Elephas maximus indicus: one gene and its partner. The protein of the gene in region 2 purifies or fractionates together with the protein of the main gene of each other region. This does not show direct contact. Links are inferred from orthologs where the notes say so. Each region holds a gene or a part of one and is shown on either strand. Other genes may lie near its edges. The genes, in order: UBE3D and DNAAF2.

What was found.
Region 1: the proteins of DNAAF2 (region 2) and UBE3D purify together in Homo sapiens (affinity purification with mass spectrometry; 4 studies listed by BioGRID and IntAct, counting the BioPlex papers as one, with this or other methods). This does not show direct contact. The link is inferred for Elephas maximus indicus from reciprocal best matches to the Homo sapiens genes DNAAF2 and UBE3D.

What each region holds. Positions count from the first base shown.
Region 1 is NC_064819.1:146,741,656-146,757,507, forward strand, and holds the start of UBE3D (E3 ubiquitin-protein ligase E3D), read right to left. Parts: upstream 6,743-15,852; 5' UTR 6,478-6,742; coding exon 6,401-6,477; intron 1-6,400. Other genes in the region: uncharacterized protein LOC126070060, read right to left, coding at 7,610-7,627, 9,609-10,213, 10,824-10,827. UniProt on the Homo sapiens protein: E3 ubiquitin-protein ligase which accepts ubiquitin from specific E2 ubiquitin-conjugating enzymes, and transfers it to substrates, generally promoting their degradation by the proteasome.
Region 2 is NC_064828.1:61,934,402-61,950,400, forward strand, and holds the start of DNAAF2 (protein kintoun), read right to left. Parts: upstream 6,508-15,999; coding exon 4,636-6,507; intron 1-4,635. Other genes in the region: POLE2 (DNA polymerase epsilon subunit 2), read right to left, coding at 8,472-8,490. UniProt on the Homo sapiens protein: Required for cytoplasmic pre-assembly of axonemal dyneins, thereby playing a central role in motility in cilia and flagella.

The DNA of each region.
Region 1 (15,852 bases), on a different chromosome or scaffold from region 2:
AAAAGAGGAAGGAAAACAAATTACCAGTATCGTGAACAAAAGCAGAGAAATTACTACTTTAAAAGGACAATGAGGGGATATTATAAACAACGTTATACAACATTTAACAGCTTATAGGAAATGAACAGAAATCTTGAAAAAACACAATCAAAATTGATAGATTAAGTAGAAAGCCTTATAGCTCTATATCAAAGAAATAGACTTTGCAGTTAAAACCACCCTACAAAGAATATCCCAGGCCCAGATGCCTTTTCTTATAATTTCTAGCAAACATTTAAGGAAGAAATAAAACCAATCTTATAGAAACTCAGAAAATAGGGAGGGAAACACTTCTCAATTTGTTTCATGAGGAAAAAATAACCTTGAAACTAAAACCCAAGACATTACAAGAAATAAAACTACAGACCAATATCCCTCAAGAACATAGGTCAAAAAAAAAAAAATCCTTAATAAGCCATAAAAGAAATGTGTTTGTGTGTGTGTGTGGCCCTAGTGGTGCAGTAGTGGTTATGAGGTTGGCTGCTAGCCAAAAGGTGAGCAGCTTGAATCCACCAGCCACTCCTTGGAAACCCTATGGGGCAGTTCTACTCTGTCCTATAGGGTTGCTATGAGTCAGAATCAACTCAACGGCAACAGGTTTACGGTGTATATATATATGAATGTAATACATCATGACAAAGTGAGGTTTATCTCAGGAAAGTAAAATGTTTAACATTTAAATCTCAATCAATGGAATCCACCATATTAAAAGTTAAAGGAAAAAAAATATAATCATCTCTCTCAATAGGCGCAGAAAAAGCATTTGAAAAAAGTTAACACCATTCCTAATAAAAATTCTCAGGAAACTATTATTAGAAGGGAACATCCTCTACCTAATTTTAAAAAACCCATGGCATACATCATACTTAATGGTGACGCATTGAATGTTTTTCCTTAAGAATGGAAATAAGGCAAAGATGTGTACTCTCACAACTTCTACTGAATGTTGGTCCAAGCCAATAAAATACTGAAAGGAAAATAAATAATAGATGTACAGACTGGAAAGAAGTAAAATGATTATTATTCACAGAAGACATGATTGGGTACATAAAAAGAACCTTAAGGAATATTAAAAAAAAAAAAAAATCTTCTAGAATCAATAATAATTATTTGACATGTTTGCATGATACAAATCAGTATATAAAAATTCTGTTTCTAGATACTAGCAACAAACAATTGGAAAATAAATTTAAAAAAACAAAGCCACTTACAATGAATCATAAACATCAAATACCTAGAAATAAATCTAGTAAGACAAGTGTGAGACCATTATACTGACCACTACAAAACACTGTTGAGAGAAATTAAAGACCTAAATAAATGGAGAGATTTACCATGTTTATGGTTTAGAAGACTCATTATTGTTGAGAAGGCCATCTTCCCAAATTCACTGTAGAATCAATGTAATCCCAATCAAAATCCCATCAAGCATGTTTTGTAGAAATGACAAAAACTAAAAATCAAACCCATTGCCATTGAGTTAATTTCGACTCATAGCGACCCTGTAGAACAAAGGAGAACTGCCCCACAGGATTTTCAAGGCTATAATCTTTTTTTTTTTTTTTCAATCTTTATGGAAGCAGACTGCCAGGTCATTTCTCCCATGTAGCAGCTGGTGGGTTCAAACCACTGATCTTTTGGTTAGCGGCCGAGTGCTTAACCACTGTACCACTAAGGTTCCTTAGAAATTAATTTATATGGAAATGCAAAAGCTCTAATATATTCAAAATAATCTTTAAAAAGAACAAATTTGGAGAATTCATGCTACCTGATTTCAAGACTTTCTTTAAAGGTACACTAATCAAGACAGTCATTTGATTTCTTGACTGCTGCTACTTTGTGAAGGGGAACTCAGTGGCACAGTGGTTAAAGTGCCAGGCTGCTAACCGAAAGGTCAGAGATATGAAACCACTAATGGATCCATGGGAGAAAGATATGGCAGAGTCTGCTTCCATAAAGATTACAGCCTTCCAAATGCTATGGGGCGTTTCTACTCTCTGCTGATTGTTACTCTGAGTAAAATGAAATCCTTGACAACTTCAGTATCTTCTCCGTTTATCATGATGTTGATTATTGCTCCAGTTGTCAGAATTTTTGTTTTCTTTGTGTTAAGGTATAATCCATAATGAAGACTGTAGTTTTTGATCTGTTAGTACAGTATTTTTATGCAAATTATGCACACCTTCTGTGTTTGCCAACTGTGCCCTCCCCTCCAAGAGGTATTTTTATAAGCGCTATGCAAATTTTTTTTTTTCTACAGCAACATGCAAAAATTGGCATAGTGGTACTTATGGAAACACCTCATGAGGGGAGGGAGAAGCTGGCAAACAAACTTAGAAGGCATGCATTATTTTGTATAAAAATACTGTAAGTGCTTCAAGTCCTCTTCATTTTCCACAAGCAAGGCTCTGTCATTTGTATTATAAAAAAAAAAAAAAAGGTTGTTAATGAGTTTTCCTCCAAGCCTGATGGCACAGTCTTCTTCATATACTCCAGCTTCTTGGATTATCTTTTCAACATTCAGACTGAGTAAGTATGGTGAAAGGATACAACCCTGACACACCTTTTCGAATTGTAAACCAGACAGTATCCCCTTGTTCTGTTTCAATGGCTGCCTCTTGATCTACACCGGTTCCATATCAACACAACTAAGTACTCTGAAATTTCCATATCCATAATTTGTTATGATCCACACAGTTGAATGCCTTTGTGTAGGCAATAAAACACAGGTAAACATCTTTCTGATATTCTCTGCTTTCAGCCAAGATCCATCTGACATCAGCAATGACATCCCTTATTCCACGTCCTCTTCTGAATCTGGCTTGAATTTCTGGCAGTTTCCCGTCAATTATGGCTGTAGCTGTTTTTGAATTGGCAAATCTGCTGCAAAAGATCTCTTTAAAATCTTATAAAGCGAAGATATCACTTTAATGACTAAGGTGCACCTGAACCAAGCGGTGAGGTTTACAATCGCCTCCTGTGCACAGGAAAGCTAGACAATGAAAAAAGAAGGCTGAGGAACAATTGGCTCATTTAAAGTATGGCGTTGGAAAAGAATATTGACTATACCATGGACTGCCAGAAGTATGAACAAAATCTGTCTTGGAGGAAGTACAGCCAGAATACTCCTTAGAAGTGAAGATTGCAAGACTTTGTCTTGCTTACTTCAGACATGTTACCAGAAGGGACAGTCCCTGGAGAAGGACATCATGCTTGGTAAAGTAGAGAGTCAGTAAAAAAGAGGTAGACTCTCATGAGATGGATTGATGCAGTGGCTGCAACAATGTGTTAAAACATGCCTATTATTGTAAGGATGGCACAAGACCAGGCAACACTTTGTTCTGTCATACGTAGAGTTGCTATGAGTTGGAGCCCACACGATGGCACCTAACAATAACAACAATAATCAATACAGTATTATACTGGCTTAAGGAAAGATAAAACATCAGTAGAATAGAACAAACAGTCCTGAAATAGACCCACACAAATATAGTCAATTGATTTCTGATGAAGATGCTAAGTTTTTTCAATGAGGAAATGATAGTCTTTTCAACTAATGCTGATGAACAACTGGATATCCTTATAAAAAAAAAAAAAGAACTCTGATGTCTACTTCATTTTAAACTCAGAAGTTAATTTGACATGGCTCATAGTCCTCAATGTAAATGCTAAAACTATATAATTTCTATTAAAATATATATATATATATGAAAAAATCTTCCAAGCCTTGAGGTAAGATTTCTTAAGACACAAAAAAAAAACCTTAAAAAAAATGATATGCTGGACTTCATTAAAACTATTTTTCTTCTGCTCATCAAAAAACACTACAAAGAAAATGAAAAGGCAAGTCACAGACTGGGAGGAAAATATCCACATATTTTCAAACGTATGAGAAAGGTCTTGTTTCCAAATTAAAGAACTCTTTCAATTCAATAATAAGACAAACAACCTGATTTTTTTTTTAATGGCAAAATATCATAGCAGGCGCATTACAAAAGAACACATATAAATAGCCAAAAAGCAAATGAAAAGCTACTCAACATTATTAGTCATCAGAGAAATGCGTATTAAAACTACAATGAGGTACCACTTTATACCCACTAGAATGCTACAATCAAAAAAGACTGATAACATTAAATGTAGGTGAAAACGTAAAGCAATTGGAGCTCTTTTTTTTCTTTTTCTTTTGCTGGTGGGAGTGTAAACTCGTACAACCACACTGGAGAACGGTTTGGCAGTTTCTTATAAAATAAAAGGCATCTATCCTTATTGCTGGTTGCCATCGAGCCGATTCCAACTCACGGTGACTCCATGTGTTACAGAGTAGAACTGTTCCATAGGCTTTTCTTGGCTGTAATCTTAATGCATGCCGATTGCCAGGCCTTTTTTCCACATTACCACTGGGTGGGTTCTAACTGCCAACCTTTAGGTTAGCAGTTGAGGCAAACCTCTTGTGCCTCCCAGGGACCTTAGCAGGGCTAATTTTTAGTCTCACCTAAAAGGGGCACCAGAGAATGTCCTGAAGTGACAGAAGTGTTCTGTGTCTTATTCTGGTTTGTGCTTACATAGATGTATACATTCCACAAAACTCATCAAACTGAACACAACATCTGTGTATTTTATTATATATAAGTTATATCTCGATAAACACTCATCATCTGCAAAAATCAGAGCTGCTAAAGAATAAAGTGAGCAATATATATGAAATATATTTTTAAAGTTTCAGAGGGTTCCTAGGTTTCAGGAATGGCATGGTTGTGCACAAGTACAGGGGAGCTCAGATACCAGCCCCAGAGAGAAGGTGGCACCAGGAGGAGGGAAAGGGCAAGGTGGCCAGGACTCTGTAATATTGCCTAGGATCCTGGCAGCAGAATAAATAATATTATATTATGTATAAATAATAAAGGCACACATGAATCCACCTGTTGATGCTGGGCACAGTCACTTCCTCTAGTACATGGTGGGGGAGGATTGGAGAAACCAACAAATTACAAAAAAAAAAAAATCTTTTCTGGAGCTGAAATTCAGGAATTAAAGTGATCTGAAATATAAAGTCATCTATATTTTCATGATGCTTTAAATTTAACTAAGTCTTATACATACATGATCTTATTGAGGCTTCCAAAAACCCTACAAGATGGACTGGAACTGGAGATATTTGTGTGAACTCATCATTTTAGATAGTTTGATAGATATAGTGATAAATATCATACCCATTTTACAATTGAAGAAACCAAAGCCACTACCGTGGAGTCTATTCTGACTCAGAGAGACCCTATAAGACAGAGTAGAACTGCCCCATAGGGTTTCCAAGGCTGCAAATCTTTAGAGGAGCAGACTGCCACATCTGCGGAAGAGCGGCTGGTGGGTTCAAACCGCCGACATTTAGGTTAGCTGCTAAGCGCTTTAACCACTTCGCCACCAGGGCTCCTTACAATTTAATAAACTAGAATTAAATGATTCTATGCTTGTGCGAAAGCAAGGATACAACCCAGATCTCACGTCAAATTTAAAGCTGCCACACCAGATTTAAGAATAAGAGGAAAAGCTAAGCATCAATTTACCTCGGAGTGGCGCTATATAATAAAAATGACATTTTGAGGATTTTAACATCTAACTTACTCTATTTGAAACAGCAGTCTCAGGAAAATAGGTGACGGGACTACACACCATTAAAACTGTTGCCAAGCAAAAGGAGTATTTTTCTTGTAAGTTTCTTGTTTGTGTAGTGAATAACGAGTTAAACGTTTGCACACTTCCCATTGGAACTTGGGATAGGATAAAAGAATGAGTTCCAATAAGAAGTCCCCAACCTTTGTTACTCGCTCACTGAACACACGTTAATTGAATGACTGTATCAGTTTCTCTGCAGCGAGCTGGGTATTTTTTTCTTTTCTTTTTTGGAAGGGTGGAGAGGCGGCGAGGGGCAAGAAGACCAGAAGGTATTTACAAAACAGGAAGCTCGCACATTGGAACTGATCCCATAACGAGGGTCCGGAACAGAACCACACAACCCATTTTTTGCACTGTTACTTTGGAAAACGCCCGGTCACTGCCAGCAGTATTTTACATCACTGCTCCTCAAACGTTAATATGCATTTGAATCCGGGAATAATTCCGACTCAGAAAGTTTGGTGTGGGGCTGAAACTGCATTTCGAAAAAGCTCCCAGATGATTCCGAGGCTACCAGTCGGAGTACTACTCTTGCAGGAGGGCTCCACTTTCATTAACGAGAGGCTCTTAGCAACTCGAAAGAAGAAACTCAAAACCCGACCTTTCGAGGGAGGCGGAGACCCCGGGGCAACAGAAAAGCCATCTGGCCACCGCGCCTGGATGCCCACACGCCCGCCCCAGGCCTTACCCCACGATCAGCAGCGCGCTCTGCAGCCGTCTCCTGACCTCCAGGAACATGCGCATCGCGGCCGCCGTCGCCGTCATGGCGGGAGCCCCCGCCCCAGGCTAGACAGAGCCTGAGATTCTGGCGAACCGGGTCACCGGGAGCCGACCCGCTGCACATGCAGCAGGAGCGGCGGCGGCCCAGCTGCCCGCCCAGATCGGACGCACTGCTGGAGAGGCCTCCTAGCCCACAGCGCCACCTGCCGGGCGGAGAACGCGCCACGAGGAATATGGACCGGAGGGGCGTGCGCTCTTGCACGGAATGCTGAGACAGGTGGGCGGGGAGAGCTAGGCTATCCTATGAGGCCGCTACTCATGGGCGTGGCCTGGAGCGTTAGTCTTCCTGAAAATGAAAACAAAAATTATTTCGGGGTACACCTCTTTGGCGAACTTGGGTAAGGATGGGACATGAAGAGAGGGAGATCATAGAGGGAGGCGATGCAGGTGGACACCACCCGGTGAAGCCCAAGAAAAGACTCACAGCTACCCTATAGGACCGAGTAGAACTGCCCCATAGTTTTTCCAAGGAGTGCCTGGTGGATTTGAACTGCGGACATTTTGGTTAGCAGCTATAGCACTTAACCAGTAGCCACCAGGGTTTCCAGGGAGCCCAAGAGTAGAATTAAAAAAACGCAAACCAAGCCCGTTGCCGTCGAGTCTATTCGGACTCACAGCGACCCTAGAAGAACAATAGAACTGCCCCATAGGGTTGCCAAGGAGCACCTACCTGGTGGATTCGAACCGTTGTCCTTTTGGTTAGCAGCCGTAGCTCTTAACCACTGCCACCACGGTTTCCAGAGCAGAACTACCCACCCTAAATCCATTTTACTTTGTTCTCTTTTTTATGAACTAGGGTCGATTGGTAGTTTATCTCCATCCAAGGCAACGAATGTCAAGGATTGACTTCGCGTTCCTTCTCAACTTGGACATGATCTCTCTAAGACTGAAACAGTTGCCAGAAAAAAAAAATGCAACGTAATAAAGTTTTCTGTTACCTATTCAGAAGAGTGGAGCAAAGGTTGGCAGCTGGAATCCATCAGCTCCTTCTTGGAAACCCCGTGGGGCAGTTCTGCTGTGCCTCATAGTGTCGCTGTGAGTCGGAATGGACTCGACCACAACGGGTTTGGTCTTCAGGAGGATGTGTGGCTGAAGCTCAGTATGTTGAATTACAGGATTAAGCATTCATATAACTCTTGAAAAAAAGGAAGTGAGGATGATTCCAACTATACAGTAAAAACTGACGCAGGGAAGTGTAAATATTACGCTATTACTATAATTTTGGAAATGTTGACATAGTGAAGGAAAGGACCTAGTATAATTTAAATACTTCTAACTGGGAACTAGGAATTATTAAAATATAAGTTCACTTTAAATATTAAAATATAAGTAGTGTTACAATAGGACTTCTTTAAAAACAAGAAGCTGTTAGTTTTTTAAAATAATTTTTATTGTGCTTTAAGTGAAAGTTTACAAATCAAGTCAGCCTCTCACACAAAAACCCATATACACCTTGCTACACACTCCCAGTTACTCTCCCCCTAATAAGACAGCCTGCTCTCTCCCTCCTCTCTCCTTTTGTGTCCATTTTCACCAGCAAGAAGCTGTTAGTTTTTAAAAACAGGCAATCATGACTTGTATATGTAAGATTCTATGTTTATTGATGTTGCTTTGTAATTTCAAGGTCATAATTATCACACACCAAAAATATTAAAACATTTCCAAATAAATAAATCCACTTCTTCAAAGATACCAGCTTAAGACTATTATTCTAAAATTATTATTTGGGTGTTTTATGTTGATAGACATCTGTTGCACAGATTTGTGTATCTATCACAGTAATTTGAAATCATGGATCGAGGTAACAACTCAGAGAATTGAGTTTACTACTATTCCATCTCAAATAATTCATCTACGTCTAGGGTAATTGTGATCCCAATACACCCCAGCATGTTTTCTCCTTTTTCAAAATGGGCAACTAAGAGGTTGACATAACGCCATAATGAACCTATAAATTCTTCTCCTTCCTCTGCCTGCCTCCTCCTTCACAGACCTCTGTTAATGACTTTGTTTTGATCTAATGCTAATGACTTTGTTCTTTGTTTTAGTCTGATGCAAATAACTTTGTTTTGTTCTGTCTGACCACCTGTGACTTAAACCGACCCCCCCCCCCAGGAAAATCAGAGCCCAGGTGTCTGATACATATATCTTTAGCCTGATAAAGAGATGTGGGCATGTGTCTCCTTAGTCTGATAAAGAGTCTTTTGTCATGATACTATAATGAGTAACTCCTCTGGCCAGGCCATCTTCAGACTACAAAGACACTTTTAACCCTTGTAAGATTCTATATAAACTCTAATGTAAAATTGCTCTTTGGGACTCCATAGAGACAGCCTGTGTTGCTGCTCGGTCGCGGATGATGTATACATCTCCTTAAACTTTCTCTCTCTTTCTGACTTGGAGTGTGTTTCATTGGCTCGACTGCTCCAGGGCACAGACCCCAATCAGGTAACAATGATTTCAACTCCTCTTATCATCATCCACCTATAATCTCCAGGGCTACTAAAGGCTTAAAATATTGATACATTATATTAAAATATTTAACATTCTTAGCATAATATGCCCCTCATGGTGTTTGATTATCGTTAGTGGTTTTTAGATTTTATATGAAGCCACTTATTGTAAAAAAAAAAAAAAAGTGTTCATCATATTTTGACCCTATAAAACCAAAAAAACGAAACCCATTGCCTTCAAGTCTGTTCTGGCTCACAGTCTAGGCAAAATGGTGCGATCCTCCTTTGAGTAACTTGAAGTGATTTAGAGTTTTAGCCTCAAAATAGCTGCAACTATTTGTCTCCTAATCTCGGGCCTCGAGTAACTCATACAGGCGGAATCCTCCAGCTTATTCAATTCCTCACTTCGCTTCATACTCTGCATCTAAACGGGACTGGCCCTGGCAAGTTGAAAACACCTACTAAAAGCCTCTTTTCCGCCCCACTTCTGCTGTTTAGGAGCCCTGGTGGCGTAGTCGTTAAGAACTACCCTCTGCTAACCAAAAGGTTCGCAGTTGAAATCCACCTGGCTCTCCTTGGAAACCCTGTGGGGCAGCTATAATCCCCTGGGCGGCAACGGGTTGGGGTTGGGTTTTCTGCGGTTCATGACGATAAGTCGCTTACCCGAAATGGCAGGTAGAGGGCGCTGTGGCGACAGTTGGGAGGCGAGGAGCCGGCTGGGGGCGGAGATCTAGGGCGGTCGACGTCGACGCCGGCGTGGCCGCGAGCGCGGTGCACTCTGGGAGCTGTCACCAGGCCCTTCGGCTCCGGCCTCCTTGTAGCTGCCGCGGTTGCCAGGAGAGCGGCGCCGGCCGGGAGCGGGCAAGTCCAGGGCAGGTAACAGCGTCCCCGCCCCCAGTGCGGTCGCGAGGCGGGCCGCCGGTCCAAGGCGACCTCCTCGGACTGGTTCATTCTGGAGTCGGGCTTACTGTGGCGTCGGGCTGTCGCGTCCCGGCCCCGCCTGGAGCCGCGGAGCCGCTGGCCGCCCTCTGGGTTTCGGGGATGCGGGAGCTGCGCGGGGACCGACGGGCGGAGGCGCATGGGCCGCCCTGGGCAGGGGTGGGTCCGGAGCGCCCGGTAGCCGGGGACGAGCTGGGCATGAGGTTGTGGGGCAGGTCGCACCTCTGCGGTAAAGGCGCGGGGAATAACCTCTTTGTTGGCGCAATCAGTGCGTAGTGTCGCCTCACTGACTCTGGATTCTCTTAGTTTTGAGGAGAGAAGAATGTCAGCTATGGTAAATGTTCACGGGAGGGGGTTAGAAGGGAGTACGGAAGTTTATTAAGAGGAAGTCGGATTAGTCTTACGGAAGTTGTTAAGAATTATCACCTTTGATTTCCAAGCCCTAAAGTTGCAACATAACAATAGTTACTTGTTCGGTTTTCTCCATTTTTTACTTACCCTGGTGGGGTGGCTGGGGGAAGGGGTACACATAATCAGCTACTTTTTTAAAGCTATGTCAGTTGTGTTTTGATTTTTACTCAATTTTAGAGTACTATGGAATTTGAGAAATAAAAGGATTGGAAAAATTTGATTTGGAGACTGTAGTTAAAGCAATTTGCTTTTATTATTTTTTTTCTTTATGATCACACAAATATGGTGGCGCAGTGGCTATGTGTTACGCTGCTAACCAATAGGTTGGCAGTTCGAATCCACCAGCCGCTCCTTGGAAGCCCTATGGGACAGCTCTCTGTCCTACAGGGTCGCTGTGAGTCAGAATCCACTCCACTGCAATGGGTTTAAGAGCTTATTTGCCGAAAAACAAGCCTTGAACTATGTGTATATATATATATATATATATATATATATATATATACCCATTGCCGTCGAGCCGATTCCTACTCATGTTGACTGCTTGTCTTCTACGCAGGTATAAGATCTTGTATTTTAATTTTATATGTCAGAATTAATGTGGGCTACTTTTAAGGTCTGTTTATGGATAGCATATGTAAACATTTTGTCCTAAGTAACTCACCACCTGATAGGCAATACAGTGATTTAGTTGAGCTAATAGAAATTGTCCACGTGCAGGCTAAATGCTTTATTTTAGTCATTACTTTTCAGCCACCACTCTAAATCATTCCTCAGAATTGCTAAGCAATGGCAAATATACAGATGGGCCTGATTATTGGGGACCCAATTCTTGCCGGAAGAATTAAAACACCTAAGTTAATACACAAACCAGAAAATGTGATGCCAGTGACAAACTGTTAGATGTAAATTAAATGTTGTCACTGTACATAGTCAAAAGAGACCTATTTTGTAGTTGAAGTAGTAGGAAGAGCTCTGCTGGAATAAGATTTAGGTTCGAGTTTATTCTGCCACTAATCAGGTGGCCTCAATTTTGTTATCTACTTAAGGGAATTTGACAAAGTCAGAGTTTTCCAAATGGATGTTTCTCCTGAACATTGTTCTAAAGCTGTTAATAAGTTCATTGCTCCAAAACAGTGTTCCATAGGAAATAATTTGGGAGCACACTGGGTTAAACCAAGTTAAATGACTTTTTGATTTGCTTTTAACTGCAGGACTCCTCAAACCTTCACTATGCTAATATGCAGTGTATATCTCCAGGGGAAGGTTATCACAGCATTTCCTAAACTTACCTGGCTCGAGATCCTATTTTCTCATGGCCAACCTGTTAACATTTCCTAGAATATAATTACATAGAACACCAATTTGAAAATTGCTATGCTTCGTGATTATTGAGTCTCCTTTTCAGCTCTAAAATTTCATGCGTTATGCTTTAAGTACCAAGTCAGTTTTAAGTGTGAAGTATGCTTCATGCTTGAGCAGGAAGATCTAGTGGCAACTCTCACTGGTTTCAGGAAAAGGCTTCTATTATTAATATTAATATTAAGAATGCACATGGGTCTTCATGAGCTTTCATTCATTAATTTATGGTGAAGATTTTTTTTTTTCCCCCTTTCCTGGTCTCTTGATGCTTTTCTTTAAAAATAATTAATTCATGTTTTGAACTTGATTCTGTGGTTGAGTTACTGATTTTATGGCATTTTAAAGTTGCAACAAGTAAAGTCTTGATGATGGCATTGTTTTTACCATGAATGATATGCCTTTTCTAATAATGAATTCTTACAACTATGAAAGTGATACAAGCTACCGGAAATATACTTAAATAATAATTTTAAGAGCATAGATCATCAAAGCCAGTTAAAGGTTAAAAACATTAATGCTAAAACAGTTATTTCTTCGTTGCTAACACACAGTATCTAAGTATTGAGTACAATCAACTCTTTTTTTTGTTGTTGTTAAATTCTGAAAGCAGAAAGTGTGGGTGCTTCTGTTTTTGTTGCTTAGTTAGGGCTTCCAGTTGTAGGAAAGGATAGGAACAGGATGTTGAATTTTAATAGGTGTCTTAGTTATGTAGTGAAACCCTGATGGCTAGTGGTTAAGAGCTACCACTGCTAACCAAAAGGTCGGCAGTTCAAATCCACCAGGTGTTCCTTGGAAACCCCATGAGGGAGTCCTACTCTGTTCTCTAGGGTCGACTCGATGGCAGTGGATTTGCTTGGGTTTTTTAGTTATCTAGGGCTGGTGTAACAGTAATACCACACGTGGGTGGCCTTAATAAAGAGAAATTTATTTTCTCACAGCCTAGGAGGCTAGAAGTCAGAATTCAGGGCGTCAGCTCCAGGGAAAGGCTTTCTGTCTCTGTTGTCTCTGGAGGAAGGTACTTTTCATCAATCTTACCCTGGTCTAGGAGCTTCTCTGCACAGGAACCTCAGGTCCAGAGAACTTGCTCTGCTCTGGGTGGTGCTTTCTCGGTCGTATGAGTTCCTTATGTCTCTCTGCTTGATTCTTTCTTTTGTATCTCAAAAAGAGATTGGCTTAAAACAATTTAATCTTGTAGATTGAGCCCTGCCTCATTAATCTAACTGCTGCTAATCTCACTTTATCAACATCATAGAGATAGGATTTACAACATGTAGGAAAATCACATCAGATTACAAAATGGTGGACAGTTGCACAATACTGGGAATCATGGCCTAGCCAAACTGATACGGATATTTTGGGGGGACACAATTCAATCCATGAAATAGATAAACCTTTGATAAATTCTCTGTCTGAAATAAAACTCTTAAGTAGTTTAAGAGCTAATATTTTTGTGTGATAGCTAACAGTTTATACTGAGAATTTATTATATGAAAATAAATACATTGATCCACTTGTCTTTAAATAGTGATTTGTTTTTTCTCCTTATTGTGTTTACCACCTGTATTAGTTTCCTAGGGCTTCCTTAACAACTTACCACAAACTGGGTGATTTGTAGCAACAGAAATTTATTTTCTCAGTTTTGAAGGCTAAAAGTCTAATTCAGATTGTCAGGAGGGCCATGCTTTTTCTGAAGGCTCTAGGGAGAGATCCTTACTAGCTTCTTCAGCTTCCCGTGACCCCAGGCATTCCTTGGTTTGTGGTAGCATAACTCCAGTCTTTGCCTCTATCTCTACATGGTCATTCTTCCCTGTGTGTCTCCTCTTTTCTTTTTATAAGCATAGTACTCATACTGGATTAGGCAATATGAGCTCATGTTAATTTAATTACATCTGCAAAGACCCTATTTCCAAATAAAACCACATTCACAAGTTCATTGAGGGTTGAGGGGGGAGGGTGGGCAGGTGGGCTAGGACTTCTACATATCTTTTGGGGGGACACAATTCAACTTATAACAGCCCTTGTCCAAGCTCTCCATGCCTGCAACTTCAATGATCTTTGACCCATACTTTTATTGCATAGGTCAAAGATACTGTATCAACTTTATTAAGGTAAAATTTACATACAATAATGTATACCCATGTTAAGTATACATTTCATTGAGCTTTAACAAATATATACACACCTATGTAACCACCACCGCAGTCAGGATATGGAGGATGTCCACTGCTCAGGTCTATATTGGTATGCTTCCGCTCTCTTGAAAGGCTTTTCCTGTCTCTACACATCTAAATCATACCTACCTATCTTTCAAGTCCTGGCTCAAATGCTAACTTGTCTGTGAATCCTTGATGGATTCAAAGTGAATACCTCATTTTGAACTAATTTCCTCCTCTAATAGGCTTCCTATGAACATTTTCTTGAACTTCTCTCTCTGTCCTTAACAATGGCTAAACCAATGTCATGCACGTAATAGACATTTGTATTTATTTGCTGACCAAATAGATTAGTGCAGTGTTTCCCAAACTTTAGTCAGTCTTATAGCATCATCGAAATTTCAGCCATATGTGCATATTCCTATATATTTATTTTCTTAATATTTCTTTAAGTCAATGCAATTATTTTTAAAGGAAACTTGAAATAACTACCATAAATAAAAAGCGGGGATCACTTTCCATAAATAGAAAGTGGCATGAAGTTAAAAATAATGAAAACAAAACCCAAACCAGTTGCCATCAGACTGATCCTGACTCATGGAGACTGCATGTGTTGTAGAGTAGAACTGCGCTTCATAGGGTTTTTAAGGCTGTGACCTGTTAGAAGCAGATCTCCAGGCCTTTCTTCTGTGGCACCTCTGAGATGGTTTGTACCCCCAACTTTTTGGTTAGTAATCAAGTACTTAACTACTTTTACCACTCTGGGACTTGAAAACAAAGCAATTTTATTAAATTATAGCTAGAAACTATTGCCTATGAAGGCTTTTAGCCTGAGACTTGCTACTCTTTGGTTAAGGAATATTATCCAGAATTACAGAGGCATTATAACATTCTGACACCAAACTGAGACATTATTTTTGATGCTGTCAGAGGAAGTAAAAGAGATTGAACAGGAAATTGCATCCTCAAAGAATTCATTATTGCTTAGCCGTGTCCTTGGGTCCCATAAAATTATCTCACATTGAGTTGGTGGCCCCAATTTTGGGAAATACTGAATGAATCCAGGCTTGAAAATTCCTTAGAACTTTATCTGTGTAAGGATTATGAAATAAAGTTTCTATTGTAGATTTTAAAATGTACTACAGTTAACTTAAAAAGTGCAGTATGCACTTTTTTGTAAAATGCACTTTTTACAATATTTGCATACATATTTACAGTATGAAGATGAAAAATTAATATGATTTTATTTAATCAGATACATGACTACATTTTTTCAAAAAAATTCTTTTGTTGTTGAGAATATACACAGCAAAACATACGCCAATTCAACAGTTTCTACATGCATAATTCAGTAGCATTGATTACATTCTTCAAGTTGTGCAACCATTCTCACCCTCCTTTTCTGAGTTACTCACTGCCCCCTAAGTTTCCTATCTAGTCTTCTGAGTTGCTGTTGTCAGTTTGATCCCATACAGATAGATCTTGAAAGAGCACAGTATTCAAGGCAAACAGTTTACTAGTTAAGCTAATCTGTTGTTTAGTTTTAAGAAGACTTCAGGGGATATTTTTGGTCTAAGGCTTAAAGATTATCTCAGGGCAGTAGTTTCAAGGGTTCATTCAGCCTCTATGGCTCCAGAAAGTCTGGAGTCCATGAGAATTTGAAATTCTGTTTTTGCGTTTTTCCCCTTTTGATCATGATTCTTCAATAGAATCTTTGATCAGAATGCTTGGTAATGATAGCCAGTCAAAAATATTCTTAATGTTACTTTTACAAGTAAAACACTAATACCTTATTGTTATTCAAACACATTAGCTTTAAGATAAACTTTTGAATCAAAAGAAAGAAATCTGAATCTAAAACCCAGTGGGAACTTTTTATAATATGACAACGTGATAACCATTGATTCAGGAATGATGAAATATTAATATAAACTTTATCTCATCAAATCTAAAAGAATTTGGTATCTCCTTTACTTCTCCCTGTCTTCACTTCTTAAGTTTTATATAGCCTTGTATTCATATTTCCATGCCGCCTCAAACTGGAA
Region 2 (15,999 bases):
AGGCTGCATGCGCACAGTACCCGTGTGGACACACACACAGTCTATGACGCTCGTAAAATTCTCAAAGGGTTTCATGATGCAAAAAAGTTAAAGAATCACTTCACTGGGAAACCAAGGTCAAGAAGGGGAATGTATTGACACTTTGTGGGGTTGGCAACCAATGTCACAAAACATGTTTATTAGTTGTTTAATGAGAAACTAATTTGCTCTATAAATTTTCATCTAAAGCACACACACAAAAAGATAATAGGTTATATCATAATTACTGGTAATAAAAAATAAAACTTTTCTAACCTGAAAAAATTTTTTAAATCATTTACCTGTAGAATGTTGGGCAAGTCTGGCCTCAGGTTCCTTAATCTATAAAATGAGCCAGCTGGACTAGGAAAATCGCAAGGATCCTTCCCGGTCACTGAGCTCAATGCCTTGAAACTTTGAATCCTAAAATAATTGGTCCCACAATACAATAATGGTATATAACTAAAAAGGACAGTATTATAAAATTAATTTATAAGATTACTTCAGTCAGGCCATATATTATATAAAACTAGAAGTGGAAGGTATGTATATATGGTATGTCACTCATACATATTTGAAATCTATTACAAATAAAGACTAGTTACGACTATTGTTTCTAAGAAAACATAACTAGAGTTCCTTTTTAACAGATTGAATCAACAGGGGGAAATGCAGAATTGGCCCTTTTCATTGGATTTATAATTTTTAAGGTGTACCCACATTACACTCTCTAGGCTCTCTAGGCTGTATTTTTACCCAACTTTATAGCTACTTATAGATACTATGCTTTTGGACCCTCAGTTTCTTAATATATATTATGAGAATATATTATGATTCTAGTGAATAACTCAGCAGAAGAGTTGTTTTTCCCAAAGTGAACTGTTTACATCTACAGTAATTTGCTTTGCTATTATTTGAAGATCCAGGCTAACACTGTATTATAGAAACATCCCCATCAAAAGCATTTCTAAGGTTTGTTTTCTAGAAAAGACTTATACATTGGTCTTTTCCTGACTGCTAAAAAACACATCAAATATTTTCATCTTTAGTTAACACAAGGAAAAATATTTATAATGAAAATGATTAAGATTAAAATACAAAGGATTTGCATAAACTTGCCTTCTCATCCTGGTGCCTGGTTTTATTATAAAAGATACTGACAGTGGTCTTGAAGCTGTAGGGCAATTCCCAGTAAATATTTAAAGCTTATATAAATATATTTAATATTTGTTTTAAGGTCTCTATGTGGTACAGTTTGTGCTCAACTACTAACCTAAAGGTTGGTGGTTCAAACCCACCCACCAGCACTATGGAGGAAAAGGCCTGGTGATCTGCTTCTGTTAAGATTCTAAAAACCCATATCAAGTCAATTCCAACTCGTAATGAGCTTATAGGACAGAGCAGAACTGCCCCACAGAGTTTCCAAGGAGCAGCTGGTGGATTCGAGCTCTTAACCATTGCACCACCAGGGCCGAGAAAACCCTACAGAGCAGTTCTACTTTGTAACACATGTGGTCCCTATGAGTTGGAATCAACTCCACAACAACCAATAACAACAGTATTTATGTGTAAAGTAACAATTCTGACCTCTACAGCCACAAAACAGTCTCTACATTATAATCATTTTCATATATATGAAATAATAATGATATATTTTATATCTATTCTCTTGTGAATTTTCTTCTAATTTAATACTTAGAGCCTGATACAACACAATGAAAAATGGAAGAATTGGACAGTAGGGTTCCATCAGCTTTAGCAAACATGATGATTAATGAAGTAATTATATTTCTATTCCAGACTTTAAAGATATTAAAAAAAAAAAAAAGTTGCCTTAATCTGTTAGCATACTGAGAAATCAGATTAAAATATATTCTTCAGAATTCTCTTAACTACTTGCCCATAAGGTTTTCTTCGCACAAACACTTATTTTCATAACTGTTAAAACAATTACAGGAAAATGACTGTCCTTTCCTAAATTTCCCCTTTCTGATGAAATAAACAGATAATTCAATTTTACCATATTCTCACAAAATATCTTACCTAGTGCTGGCTATTTTACCTTTTTGGGGGAGTTTCAAATTAACCAATTCTCAAAGAAGAGGCCCAACTCATAAAATGTACATGTAACTTATTAGCAAACTCCTATAAAAACAAGGAGCCCCCGTGGTACGGTTAAGTGTTGGGCTGCTAACCTAAAGGATGATTGTTTGAACCCACCAGCTGATCTGGGAGAAAGATGTGGCAGTCTTGCTTCCACAAATATCCCAAAACCAGTTGCCATGGATTCAGACTCATAGCTACCCTATAGGACAGAGTAGAGCTACCCCATGGGGTTCTAAGACTGTAATCTTTACAGAAGCAGACTGCCACATCTTTCTTCCCCAGGATGGCGAGTAGGTACAAACCACCAACCTTTAGGTTAGCAGCCCAGCGCTTAACCACCGTGGAGGCCAGGGCTCCTCTGTAAAAATCATAGCCTTGGAAACCCTATCTATGGGGCAGTTCCACTCTGTCGTATAGGGTCGCTATGATTCGGAATCTACTAGCCAGCAATGGGTTTTTTTTTTTTTTTTAATTAACTTTTATTGAGCTTCAAGTGAACGTTTACAAATCAAGTCAGTCTGTCACATATAAGTTTATATATATCTTACTCCTTACTCCCACTTGCTCTCCCTCTAATGAGGCAGCCCTTCCAGTCTCTCCTTTCGTGACAATTTTGCCAGCTTCCAACTCTCTCTATCCTCCCATCCCCCCTCCAGACAGGAGATGCCAACACAGTCTCAAGTGTCCACCTGATATAATTAGCTCACTCTTCATCAGCATCTCTCTCCTACCCTCTGTCCAGTCCCTTTCATGTCTGATGAGTTGTCTTCGGGGATGGTTCCTGTCCTGTGCCAACAGAAGGTTTGGGGACCATGACTGCCGGGATTCCTCTAGTCTCAGTCAGACCATTAAGTATGGTCTTTTTATGAGAATTTGGGGTCTGCATCCCACTGATCTCCTGCTCCCTCAGGGGTTCTCTATTGTGCTCCCTGTCAGGGCAGTCATCGGTTGTAGCCGGGCACCAACTAGTTCTTCTGGTCTCAGGATGATGTACGTCTCTGGTTCATGTGGCCCTTTCTGTCTCTTGGGCTCTTAGTTGTCGTGTGACCTTGGTGTTCTTCATTCTCCTTCAGCAATGGGTTTTTATAAAAACAACAGGAAGATGTAAAAAGTTCTGGCAGGTTAAACCCAGGGTCAAGTACTTAATTTTTAATATATAATCTGTGCAACTAGTGCTATTTCTGAGAACTTGACCCTGAATATGTTAAAAGAACAAGTTACATGTAAAGTTGATACATAACTCAAAATCATGAACTGCTAATTATTGAGTTTAAAGAGTTTTTTACAACTTCAAATTTTAAGTAGTTCATTCAATATTTGGGTGAAGTACTGAATCTGAAACTCAGGAACGCCAATAACCTAAAAAGTATAGCAGCAACTACACCACACATGCTAAATTATTCATCAGAATTATAACCTAAGAAAACAGGTATGCTCAATTTAGCTCTGAAGTATTTGCCAGCTGATGTAGCCGCTGTTCAGTTCAACAAACATTTACCTTTACACTTTGTTAAGTGCCAGACATTGTGCTAGATACTACTAGTAAACCCAAAACCAAACTAGTTGCCAACAAGTTAATTCCGACTCATAGCGACCCTATAGGGACACAAACATGATTCCAACAGACATAAAAAGAGGTAACTTCAATGAGATATACAGTACCCAGCAGAGGGCAACCCCACCATCGGCGACTAAAATTAAGCAGCACCATAAGGCGGGAAGGGCAAGGGATTTGGAATCACATCTGGGTTTGACTTCCTTTTCCTACATCTGTGTGGCACTGGCTGAGTTATTTTTTTTCTCTCCGGAAGTAAATTATTCTTATTAATTTTCCAAGTTCGGAAAAGGGGCTCTGGTGGTACAATGGGTAAACCCTCCTGCTAACCAAAAGTTCGGTGGTGTAGTTCGAACCCGTCCAGCGGCGCCAAGGAGGGAAAGATCTGGCGATCTGCTATAGTAAAGATTAAAAAAAAAAAAAAAAAAAAATTTTTTTTTTTTTTAAATCCTATCAGGCAGTTTTAGTCTGTCACATTGGGATGATACGAGTCAGAATCCATTCGACAGCACCTAACAACAAACTCAGAAAAAGTGATTTACAAACTTCAAATATGGTCCTTAGGGAATGGTTCTTAAACTTGTGGATCACAAACCCCTTCGAGGTTATGACAAGTTACAGCTTCTCTCAAGAAAAAAAGCACGCTAAACTTTTTGCAAACAATTTCAGAGGTCCACGGATCGCTGGGAATTCAGGAAAACAACTCCTACATTAGGACAACTTTGAAGATTTGAAACCCATTCACCGTAGTGGATGGATTCGGTTTCGTTTCTTCAAAATACTGTGAGAACGTTTAACACAACTGACATCTTTCATCAATTTCAATTCATTACCAATTCCAAGTCATTGATAGGAAGTGCTTTGGGGGGGGGGATAAATAGTGAGGCTGCCAGTAATAGAAAATTTTAAAACGGAATGGAGCCTTTCAAACATAAGGCTCTAGGAAGAATTGTTACCTCCAAAGAATCGTTGTTTAAACCGTAATACCACTGCCTCCAATGTCCATGGCTCTCCGGAGATTTGGCCAGTTCTATCACTGCATTGTTTGAAGAAATGCTAATCACGGGTTCTTTGGTACTCAATTTATTCTCTGGAGCAAACTGCAAAAAGAAGGAATAAAAAACAAAGTCTTGCGTGGAGAAGCACAATTTGTACCGAAGGGGGTTCAAATCCCCTCGAAGACTTTGCGGCAGGATCCGTGGAACTTGAATTAGTAGAATCAGGGATTCTTCATCCTGATTACACTGCAAAGGAGGACACAAAGGTTCCCCGCTCTGGGTCCCGGGACCACCCATGGCTCCGTTAGAGGGCTCTCGGTCAGCGCCTTCGCAGCCCCCGCGCGTCTGCACACTGAAATCTCTGCCTTCACCCCCTCTTTCTGTTGAAGACCCCGCGTCAAGGTTCCCGGTTGAAACACAAGGAAAGCCTCCGCCACCGTCGCCAGAGACGCTCCCTGCTCCTGTAGGCGAGTCCTCCCAATTGCCCAGCGGCGACCCCGCGTCCGCGTGCCCGCCGGAGTCCTGTTCTTTCTGTTCGGGGATAATCTCCTCTCCAGCGCCGGCAGGCGAGTACGCCACCTCGGGGGCGCTCGGGGTGGCGATCCCGGCGTCTGCAGCACCGGCACCGCTGGGACTCGAGTCTCGGTCCTCGGCGTGACCCCCACCCTGGCCTGCCTCCCCTTCGCGAGCGGAAGCGCACGACCCGCCGTCAGTTCCGGGCGGGTCCACCGCCCCTTCCGGCGCTGCCGGGAGCCCCCGGCGCGTGGCAGGTAGCGCCACAGGGAGCGTGATGACTAGCTGTCGCCGGGCCTTGTTGAACTGCGCCTTGCCGCGGCTGTCGTCCACCGGATACGGGAGCGAGAGCCGCAGCTGATAGTCAGGCTTCTTCGAGTCAAGGCACAGCAGCTTTCCCGTCACCTCCAGGGCTGCCTGCTCGGCCGAACGCAGCAACGGCAGCTCGATGGTGACCACCAGCTCGCGGGGCACCGGGCTCGGAGCCGAGTCCCGGCAGCAGCGGTAATCCTGCAGGTCCACGTGGTGGCGCTGCACCACGCTGTAGCGAGGCTCGGTGGGGGCGGGGGGCGGGGCCGGCCCAGAAGGGGCGGGAGCCTGGGGCTGGGGCACGGCCGAGTTCCCGGAGGCCCCCGGGTACCGGTAGGGGTAAGGGAAATCGGAAAGAGGGCCTTCCGGCTCCTCCTCGGGGCGGGCCGGGGCACCCCCAGGCAGTGGCGTGCGGAGCACGGCGGCCTCCGGAGTCCCCTTGTACTTGATCTTCAGGGTCTTGGCATTCCTGCGGTCCAGCTTCACGCCGAACTGCTTCTCGACGGCCTCCAGGGCCGTGGCGTCCAGCATGTGGCGGAAGCGCTCGTGGCGCCTGGCGAGCGCTAGCGCGTCTGGATGGAAGACCACGTCGTAGACCGTGTAGCGAGTGCCCCGGCGCCCCGCGTACTCGCGGCCTGGAGCCAGGCTGTGGGGCAGGAACCAGTGGTGGCCCGGCGCCGCGCCCCCGGAGCCGGGCCGGCTGCTCGGCGCGCCCACCAGCACGTTGCTGCACACGTTCACAAAGCAGCGCTTCGCTCCGTCCAAGCTGGTGCGCAGTACGTGGCCCGGCTCCGGGTGCACGAACCGAACCTCCACTCCGCGCTCACGCTCCAGCTCAGTGATCTCCGCCTCGTAGCGCTTTCGGTTCTCGGGGTCTGTGAGCTCCCCGGCGTACTCGGATAACAGCCGCCGGAACTCTGGGTCCTGGAAGGCGGTGGTGAGACGCTGTACCTCATCTCCGCTTAGGTCCAAGTCCTCCAGCGGCGACGAGTTGGTCGCCTTCGCCATGCTGCCCCGTAGAGCCTTGCCCTCGGGCCAAGGGGGATCAATCCGAGGCAGGGTGAGTGGAAGGCACCGTGGAGTCCCGGTCCGCGACGAGTGAAGCAGCCGTGGTCAGTAACGGCCAGAGAATTGAGCCGTGGGCAGCGCGTGGCCGTTGCCATAGCGACGGCGCTGACACCAGGCAGGAGGGAAGGAATCCGAGTGGTATGATTGAAATGCAAAAACTGGCTTCTTAGTTTTTTAAACCAAGTACAGTAATAATTATGGGTTACTGGGTTTCTCGTTTTTTTTTTTTTAGGTTCCTGTACCACGGCGAGATCAGCCTTGCTTCAGCTGATTAAACACTGAATCAGGGAGCACACCCTGTTTTTCCCAAGAGCATAAGCTCAGCATACCCTTTCAGTGCTCATTGCTGGCCCATCTTTCACATCTCTGCTTCCTATCCATGATGGGTAAAGAATTATAAATGGAAACCAGATTCTAGGTGTCCCTTCGTTCATCTACTCATTCATCTAACAAATAATTGCTTCTATAATTAACTTTTTACCCACCTTTGATTTCTGGATGATGCTGACCCACCTGTTTCTAGTTCCTGTGTTATTCCGTGACCTATTTCCTGCTACTGACATCTTACCTGCTCTTAGTAAATTGCCTTGCTTCATTTCAGTTCAAATTATCTGGCCCCTAAGTGTACCCTGTCTTCTAGTCATTAACAGATTTCCTGAAAAGATCTCAAAATACCGCAGCTTTAATTATGGAAGCAATTATTTGTTAAACTAATGAGTGAATAGGAACACCTGGTATCCACTTGCCATCATTCATATAAAGCTCTACGGCTCTCGTAACTGGATAACTGGACGAACAAACCTTATGTCTATTTCACTACGACTTTCAAGGCCCAAAATGTAAATTTTTTCAAGCAATCTAGTGGCTTTAAACCTGTGCCTTGATTTTATCTTTAAACTTCCAATTTTTCCAGGCTATTCTTGGAGAAATCAAAGCTATAAAACCCTGCTTTTCTAACATCAGGTTCCTTCTTACATGCTTCCCGAATTTTCCATCTTCAAAACACATCTCAAATTGCCAGGTCTTCCTTACTGCTAATTCACTTAACACTGCATTCAGGTTAAATTTCCAGGAATTTCCTCTTCATTACGCCATTTTTATTTTTTATTAGTATCTCCTCCCAAAAAAACTAATTCTATTTGAAATAAATATCTTCCATTCAGGCTTTTTGTAATTTCTAATGTTACTACTACATTGGAAACATCCTTTGTACCTCTGCCTAACAGCCTCTCTCATTCAGATTCATTTCTGGGCTATCTTTCCATCAAGTCCCTAAACTACACGATAAATAAAAGGATAGTGTTGAGTGATATACGTACAAAACAACAAAACATGCTGCTTCAAAATAAACATGTCTTCTAAATGTTAAAACTATAGGGATTGTTTGTTTTTATATTTCCAGTACCAAAAACTTCTGTGTCTGTGTAATGAATATCAAACTAAGGTCCTGAAGCAAAATCAGTGGGAGAAATTCTGTGACTGAAATCTAGACAGTTTGAAAAATGCTGAGCATACTGTTGGGACTCTTATGGTGATAAAAACCTAAGACTAAAACAATGATTTGGGCACTTTTAAATATTTGTATTTTTCTTAAAGTTAACATGTATGACAATTACAGAGAAACAAAACTTTATATTTTAAGTGCAAAAGTATACCTAGATAATATCTTTGCACATATCCACATATTTTTCTTAAAAGACTGTAGAAAATATATTTCCTATAAAATTTTCTGAAGTATACCGTCATGTTTATTGTGATTTAATATAAAAAATTTGTCTAATATAAATTGATAGAACTTCGTAAAGTACCATAATTTTATTATAACTTAATATCAAAATTACATAAAATATAAAATTAAACAGGAAACTGATGAATTTGGTTTCCTCATACGGTCTTTAAGAATCTCAAAAGCCTTGAAGTTTGCTGAAAACAGAAAAAAGTGAAAAAATTAAACCTTTTAGAAACAAATTATATATTTCTTAATATTTATTTTTAATTAACTTAAAACATAGGTTAATACATGCACATGGTTCTAAATTCAAAAGAGCACACACTGAAAAGTAAGCCAGTCTCATACCTCACTTCTCCTCACACAGATTTGTGTATGCTTATAGTCTAATCATATAACAGCATGTTTGTATGTGGAATATCCTTTAAAAATGCATACATGAGTGTAGAATACGATGCATGTTATTCTACACTTTTTTTTCCAATTACTAGTAAGTACATTTATATCTTAACCAACCCCTTCTTTTGTGCCTTTGAAATTTAAATAAAACTTCTGAATACATACACACAATTTAAATAAAAATACATTTAAATGGTTTCATTGCTATGCTGTATTCCTTACTATAAAACTCCAATTAAAAAAACCTTTATTTTTACGCATAAGCCTACATATACATACCTGTAGAATAAATTTCTAGAAATTGAATTGCTGGTATATGCATTTTAGATCTTAATAAATCTTGTCAAATTGCCCTCTATAAGGTTTCATTCTGACCAACAATGTATGTGAATGCGTATTTCCGACTACATCGCCAATACTGAGTTTTTAAATAAAACAACTGTATTTGAAAGTACATATCGAAACAGGGTTAACCTTAATCTACTCTGCCTACATTTTTGTGATTAACTGTACAATATGATTTCACAAGTATTCTAACAAGATCTCCTAGGCATTAAGTAGCAGGAAGACGAAATTATTTTACTATATCTTGAAATTTTTTTCTGTTCTCTCAAAAAAAAACATAAATCAAGTTTTGATTTGGGAGTGTGGATATTATATTGGATTTAGCACTGAAAAGATTCCTCGGATTATCAGTACTAAGCCACAGTTTGGAAATGATATCAAGGCTTTTCAGCATCTGTGTCCACAGAAGATACAGGAACCTGTTTCAATTCAACAAACACTAAGTGAGCACTGACTACAAGTCAAATACTATGTTAGATCCTATGCTAGAAACTTTTAGGAGGGACATGCACATTAATGACTTCTAATGCAACGTGCAAAGAACTGTAATAGCTGCATAAAGTGCTCAGAACACAAAGCAATCAGGGAACATTACAGGAGATATAACTGAAATGACTTATGCTATCACAATACCTCAGTTAATTTCCTATTAGGTTTATTATATACCATCTCATTAAAAATATATATAAAATGGCTTGTACAGATAAATAAGAAAAATAAGTAAATGAGGAAATTCAGGTAAAGGGAAAATAGGGATCAGAAAAAAAGATAAAGCAAGGGCTGAGGTTAGCACCCACCACTTAAACTAGTAAATCGTCTGCATGACAGAGGTGGGCTGCAAATTTCACCGTTTCCTAGCAGTCAAAGTGAAGGGAGACAATTGGAAGATTTACATTTACTTGGGACAGACAGATTTCTCTTCTCCTGAGACCTGTTGAAACTGCCCAATATTGGTTTTCATAGCAGACTAATTTTTTTATGTCGATAGCATAACCCAAATCTCTGTTAAGTCAATCTAAAGGCACACAGCCCTCAGAAATGGCTTAATCCCAAGGTCACAAAATTAAATGCCTTCAGGGGCAGCGGGGTACACAGGTACACAACAGGGAGTGGAGGGACTGGAGAAGAGCACTGAAGGGTATTCCAAATTTTTTTTTTTTTTTTTTTTAGTATTCAGTGCAGGCTACATAAAGTCAAACACATTAGACTTACAGAACACGGGTCTAGGATATCTGTGATTTTTATGAGTGTCTGTTTATATTCTAAGAACTAAGCAGTGCCTGGTATGCTATAAGAATTTAAGTAGAAAGGCAGGGTCAGGATGGCTAATAGCCAGACGCTTCCGGCAATCCCTCTTACAACTAAGACCCAAAAAAACAAGTGAAATGATTATATTTATGACAAGCTAGGAGCCCTGAACATCAAAGGCCAAGTTAGAAAACAGACTGAGTGGCAGGGAGAGAAAGAGATAGTTCAAAAGCGGAGGAGTTGCCAGCCCCGGATCACTGGGATCCCTCAGGCTCCATTCCCAGGAGTGGCTGCAGGGGGCTGGTGGTAGCGTTCGGCTGCAGTTTCTTCAGGGAGAAGCAACCAGCCGCACAGCCTACTCAACACCTCCAGATCCAGAGAAGAACGGTGCTCTTGGCAAAAGCTGAGTACTTGCATATATTTTTCCGTGCCCCCTGCCCCCAAGCTGGCTTCTGATTTCCCTGGGCCTGGGATAAGCCCTGTTGAGAGCCAGGAGCGATTCTCTCAGCCTTGGAGAAGGAATAAAGTTGCAATTGGGGGAAAAGATAATTTGCCAGCTCCACTAACCTGGGGAGCGCCTGATAGAAGTAGCTCCTATCCAGACATAGACAGTGTGTCGACTTTGAATACCTTTTGCCCCTGTGTGGACCTGTGTGGGCCTATTACAGGAGAATACGCCCTTGTTGGTAGACAGCAACTGTTTCAGCTGTACGGTAGAGAGGTGGGTGTTTGATGTTTGACACCCCATTGCCTATTAAACACGGTCCTCACCTACCCACATCAGGGGCCTAAGGACTCGTGGCTCTACTCAGGTCACCCAAACACCTGCGACAGGCATCCAAGAATAACTAGTACCTCCCGGTCCTTAAAACCTAAAGCATTGGGTGCCCGTAGACTGTCTACAGAACTCACCCACCTGTACACTCTAGGGAACAGGGATGCACTTTCCTCAGAGACACTTGGGGGACAATTCTGAGACCCCTGCCTTGTTCAGAACATGACCTCCTGCTGCAACCAGATACCGGTACCTACACCAATCACCCCTGCCCTTCTAAGACTGTAGGACAGAGCCTGTACCACACACTTGATGAACAACTACCTGGACACATGAGCTGAATCCATACAAGGAAAGTGAACGGACTTCTAGACTGATACACCTAATAACAGCTCTAAGCATCTGGTGACAGGACGCTAGAGCTTCAAAGTCGAAAGTAATCAAGCTAGCTCAAGCAAGCAACCTATTTGGGCATATCAAAACAAAGCGAAGCAAAAAGCTAGGATACAATAAGCACACAAAATAATAATGTACAGATGGCTCAGAGACAACAGTCAATATCAAATCACATAAAGAAACCGACCATGATCGCTTCAACAAGCTCTCAAAGAATCAAGGGATCTTATAGATGAAAGTGCATTCCTGTAATTACCAGAGGCAGAATACAAAAGATTAATATACAGAACCCTTTAAGACATCAGGCAATATGCAGAACAAGCCAAGGAACACACAGATAAAGCAGCTGAAGAAATTAAAAAGGTTCAAAGAACATATGAAAAATTTAATAAGCTGCAAGAATCCATAGGGAGACAGCAATTAGAAATTCAGAAGATTAACAATAAAATTACAGATTTAGACAGATTTAGACAACTCAATAGAAAGAGAAGAATTGAGCAAGTGGAAGGCAGAATTGGTGAGCTTGAAGACAAAGCACTTTGCACCAATATATTTAAAGAAAAATCAGATAAAAATTTTTTTTTAAAATGCAGAAATTTTAAGAATCATGTGGGACTCTATCAAGAGAAATAACCCACGAGTGACTGGAGTACCAGAACAGGGGAATATCAGAAAATACAAAGAGAATTGTTGACGATTTGTTGGCAGAAAATTTCCTGATATCATGAAAGATGAGAAGATATCTATCCAAGACGCTCATCGAACTCCACGTAAGGTAGATTTTAAAACAAAGTCACCAAGATATATTATAATCAAACTTGACAAAACCAAAAATAGAGAATTTTAAGAGCAGGTAGGGATAAATGAAAAGTCATCTACAATAAGCTCGGCCTACTCGGCAGAAACCATGCAGGGAAGAAGGCAATGGAATGACTTATATAAAGCATTGTAGGAAAAAAATTGCCAACTAAGAATCATAAATCCAGCAAAACTGTCTCTCAAGTATGAAGGTGAAATCAGGACATTTCCAGATAAACAGAAGTTTAGGGAATTTGTAAAAACCAAATCAAAACTACAAGAAATACCAAAAGGAGTTCTTTGGTTAGAAAATCAATAATATCAGGTATCAACCCAAGACTAGAACACTGGACAGAGCAATCAGATGTCAACCCAGACATGGAAATCACAAAAACAGGATAAAAAAAGGCTCAAAATGGGGAAACAGCTATCTTATTATGTAAAAGGAGACAACATTAAAACAATAAAGAGGGACTAAGAAATGTAGTCACTGATCTTTCACGTGGAGAGGAAGACAAAGCAATATAAAGAAATAAGAGTTAGGTTTAAACTTAGAAAAATATGCATAAATATTAAGGTAACCACAAAGAAGACTAACTATCCTACACAACAAAATAAAACACACAAAAAAAATAGAGACTCAGCAGAAACAAAATCAACAACGAGTAAGAGAAAAAGACAATATATAAACTACTCAGCACAAAAAATTAAGTGGGAAAAAGAAACTGTCAGCAACACACAAAAAAAGACACCAAAATGAAATGACAGCACTAAATTCATTCCTATCCATAATTACACTGAATGTAAATGGACTAAATGCACCAATAAAGAGACACAGAGTGGCAGAACGGATAAAAAACATGATCCGTCTATATGTTGCCTACAAGAGACACACCTTAGAAACACAAACAAACTAAAACTCAAACGATGGGAAAAAATAAGCAAACAACAATCAAAAAAGAGCAGGAGGGACAATATTAATTTCTGACAAAACAGACTTTAAAGTTAAATCCACCACAAAGGATGAGAAAGGACACTATATAATGATTAAAGGGACAATATACCAGGAGGATATAATCCTATTAAATATTTATGCACCCAATGACAGGGCTGCAAGATACATAAAACAAATGCTAAGAGCTTGAAAAGTGAGACAGACATTTCCACAATAGTAGTAGGAGACTTCAACACACTACTTTCAGTTAAGGGCAGGACATCCAGAAAGCAGCTCAATAAAGACACAGAAAATCTAAATGCCACAATCAACCAACTTGACCTTATAGACGTTTACAGAACACTCCACCCAACAGCAGCCAACTATATTTTCTAGTGCACATGGAACGTTCTCCAGAATAGACCACATAAAGCAAGCCTTAGCAGAATCCAAAACACTGAAATATTTTACAAAGCGTCTTCTCTGACCATAAGGCCATAAAAGTAGAAATCAATAACAAAAAAGCAGGGAAAAGAAATCAAACACCTGGAAACTGAACAATACCCTGCTCAAAAAAGACACTAAGGTTGGAATAAAGAAATTCATTGAATCCAATGAGCATGAAAACACTTCCTATCAGAAGTGGGACACAGCGAAAGCAGTGCTCAGAGGTCAATTTATATCAATAAATGAACACATACAAAAAAAAGAAAAGGTCAAAATCAAATAAATATCCCTACAACTTGAACAAATAGAAAGCAACAAAAGAAACCCTCAGGCACCAGAAGAAAGCAAATAATAAAAATTAGAGCAGAATTAAATGAAATAGAAAACAGAAAAACAATTGAAAGAATTAACTAGACCAAAAGCTGATTCTTTGAAAAAATTAACAAAATTGATAAACCATTGGCCAAACTGACAAAAGAAAAACCGGACAAGAAGCAAATAACCCGAATAAGATATGAGATGGGCGATATTACAACAGACCCAACTGAAATTAAAAGAATCATATCAGATTACTATGAAAAATTGTACTCTAACAAATTTGAAAACCTAGAAGAAATGGATGAATTCCTAGAAACGCACTGCCTACCTAAACTAACACAGAGGTAGAACAACTAAATAGATCCATAACAAAAGAAGAGGTTGCAAAGGTAATCAAAAAACTACCAACAAAAAAACCCCTGGCCCATACGGCTTCACTGCAAAATTCTACCAAACTTTCAGAGAAGAGTTAACACCACTACTACTAAAGCTATTTCAGAGCATAGAAAAGGACGGAGTACTCTCAAACTCATCCTTTGAAGCCAGCATATCCCTGATACACCACAAAAAAAGAAAATTACAGACCTATACCCGTCATGAACTTAGATGCAAAAATCCTCAACAAAATTCTAACCAATAGAATTCAATAACTTATCAAAAAAATAATTCACCATAACCAAGTGGGATTCATACCAGGTATGCAGGGATGGTTCAACATTAGAAAAACAATTAATGTAATCCATCATATAAATAAAACAAAAGACAAGAATCTCACGATTTTAATCAATTCATGCAGAAAAGGCATTTGACACAATTCGATAGCCATTCATGATAAAAACTCTCAGCAAAATAGGAATAGAAGGAAAATTCCTCAACATAACACAGGGCATTTATACAAAGCCAATAGCCAACATCATCCTAAATGGAGAGAGCCTGAAAGCATTCCCCCTGAGATCGGAAACCAAACAAGGATGCCCTTTAACACCACTCTTGAAATATTCAACATTGTGCTGGAGGTCCTAGCCAGAGCAATTAGGCTAGATAAAGAAATACAGGGCATCCAGATTGGCAAGGAAGAAGCAAAAGTATCTCTATTTGCAGATGACACGATCTTATACACAGAAAACCCTAAAGAATACTCAAGATAACTATCGAAACTAATACAGGAGTTCAGCAGAGTATCAGGATACAAGATAAACATACAGGAATCAGTTGGATTCCTCTACACCAACAAAAAGAACATCGAAGAGGAAATCACCAAATCAATACCATTTACAGTAGCCCCCAAGAAGATAAAATACTTAGGAATAAATCTTACCAGAGATGTAAAGGACCTATACAAAGAAAACTACAAGACACTACTGCAAGAAACCAAAAGAGACCTACATAAGTGGAAAAACATACCTTGCTCATGGATAGGAAGGCTTAACATTGTAAAAATGTCTATTCTACCAAAAGCGATCTACAGATACAATGCAATCCCGATCCAAATTCCAAAGACATTTTTTAATTAGACAGAGAAACAAATCACCAACTTCATACGGAAGGGAAAGAGGCCCCAGATAAGCAAAGCACTATTGAAAAAGAAGAACAAAGTAGAAGGCCTCAGTCTACCTGATTTTAGAACCCATTATATGTTCACAGTAGTCAAAACAGCCTGGTACTAGTACAAAAACTAGGACAACAACAGATATATAGACCAATGGAACAGAATTAAGAATCCAGACATAAATCCATCCACATATGAGCAGTTGATATTTGACAAAGGCCCAAAGTCAGTTAAATGGGGAAAAGACAGCCTGTTTAACAAATGGTGCTGGCATAACTGCATACCCATCTGCAAAAAAATGAAAGAAGAACCATACCTCACACCATGCACAAAATCGAACTAAAAATGGAACAAAGACCTAAATATAAAATCAAAAACAATAAAGATCATGGAAGAAAAAATAGGGACAATGCTAGGAGCCCTAATACATGGCATAAACAGTATACAAAACATTACTAACAATGCAAAAGAGAAACTAGATACCTGGGAGCTCC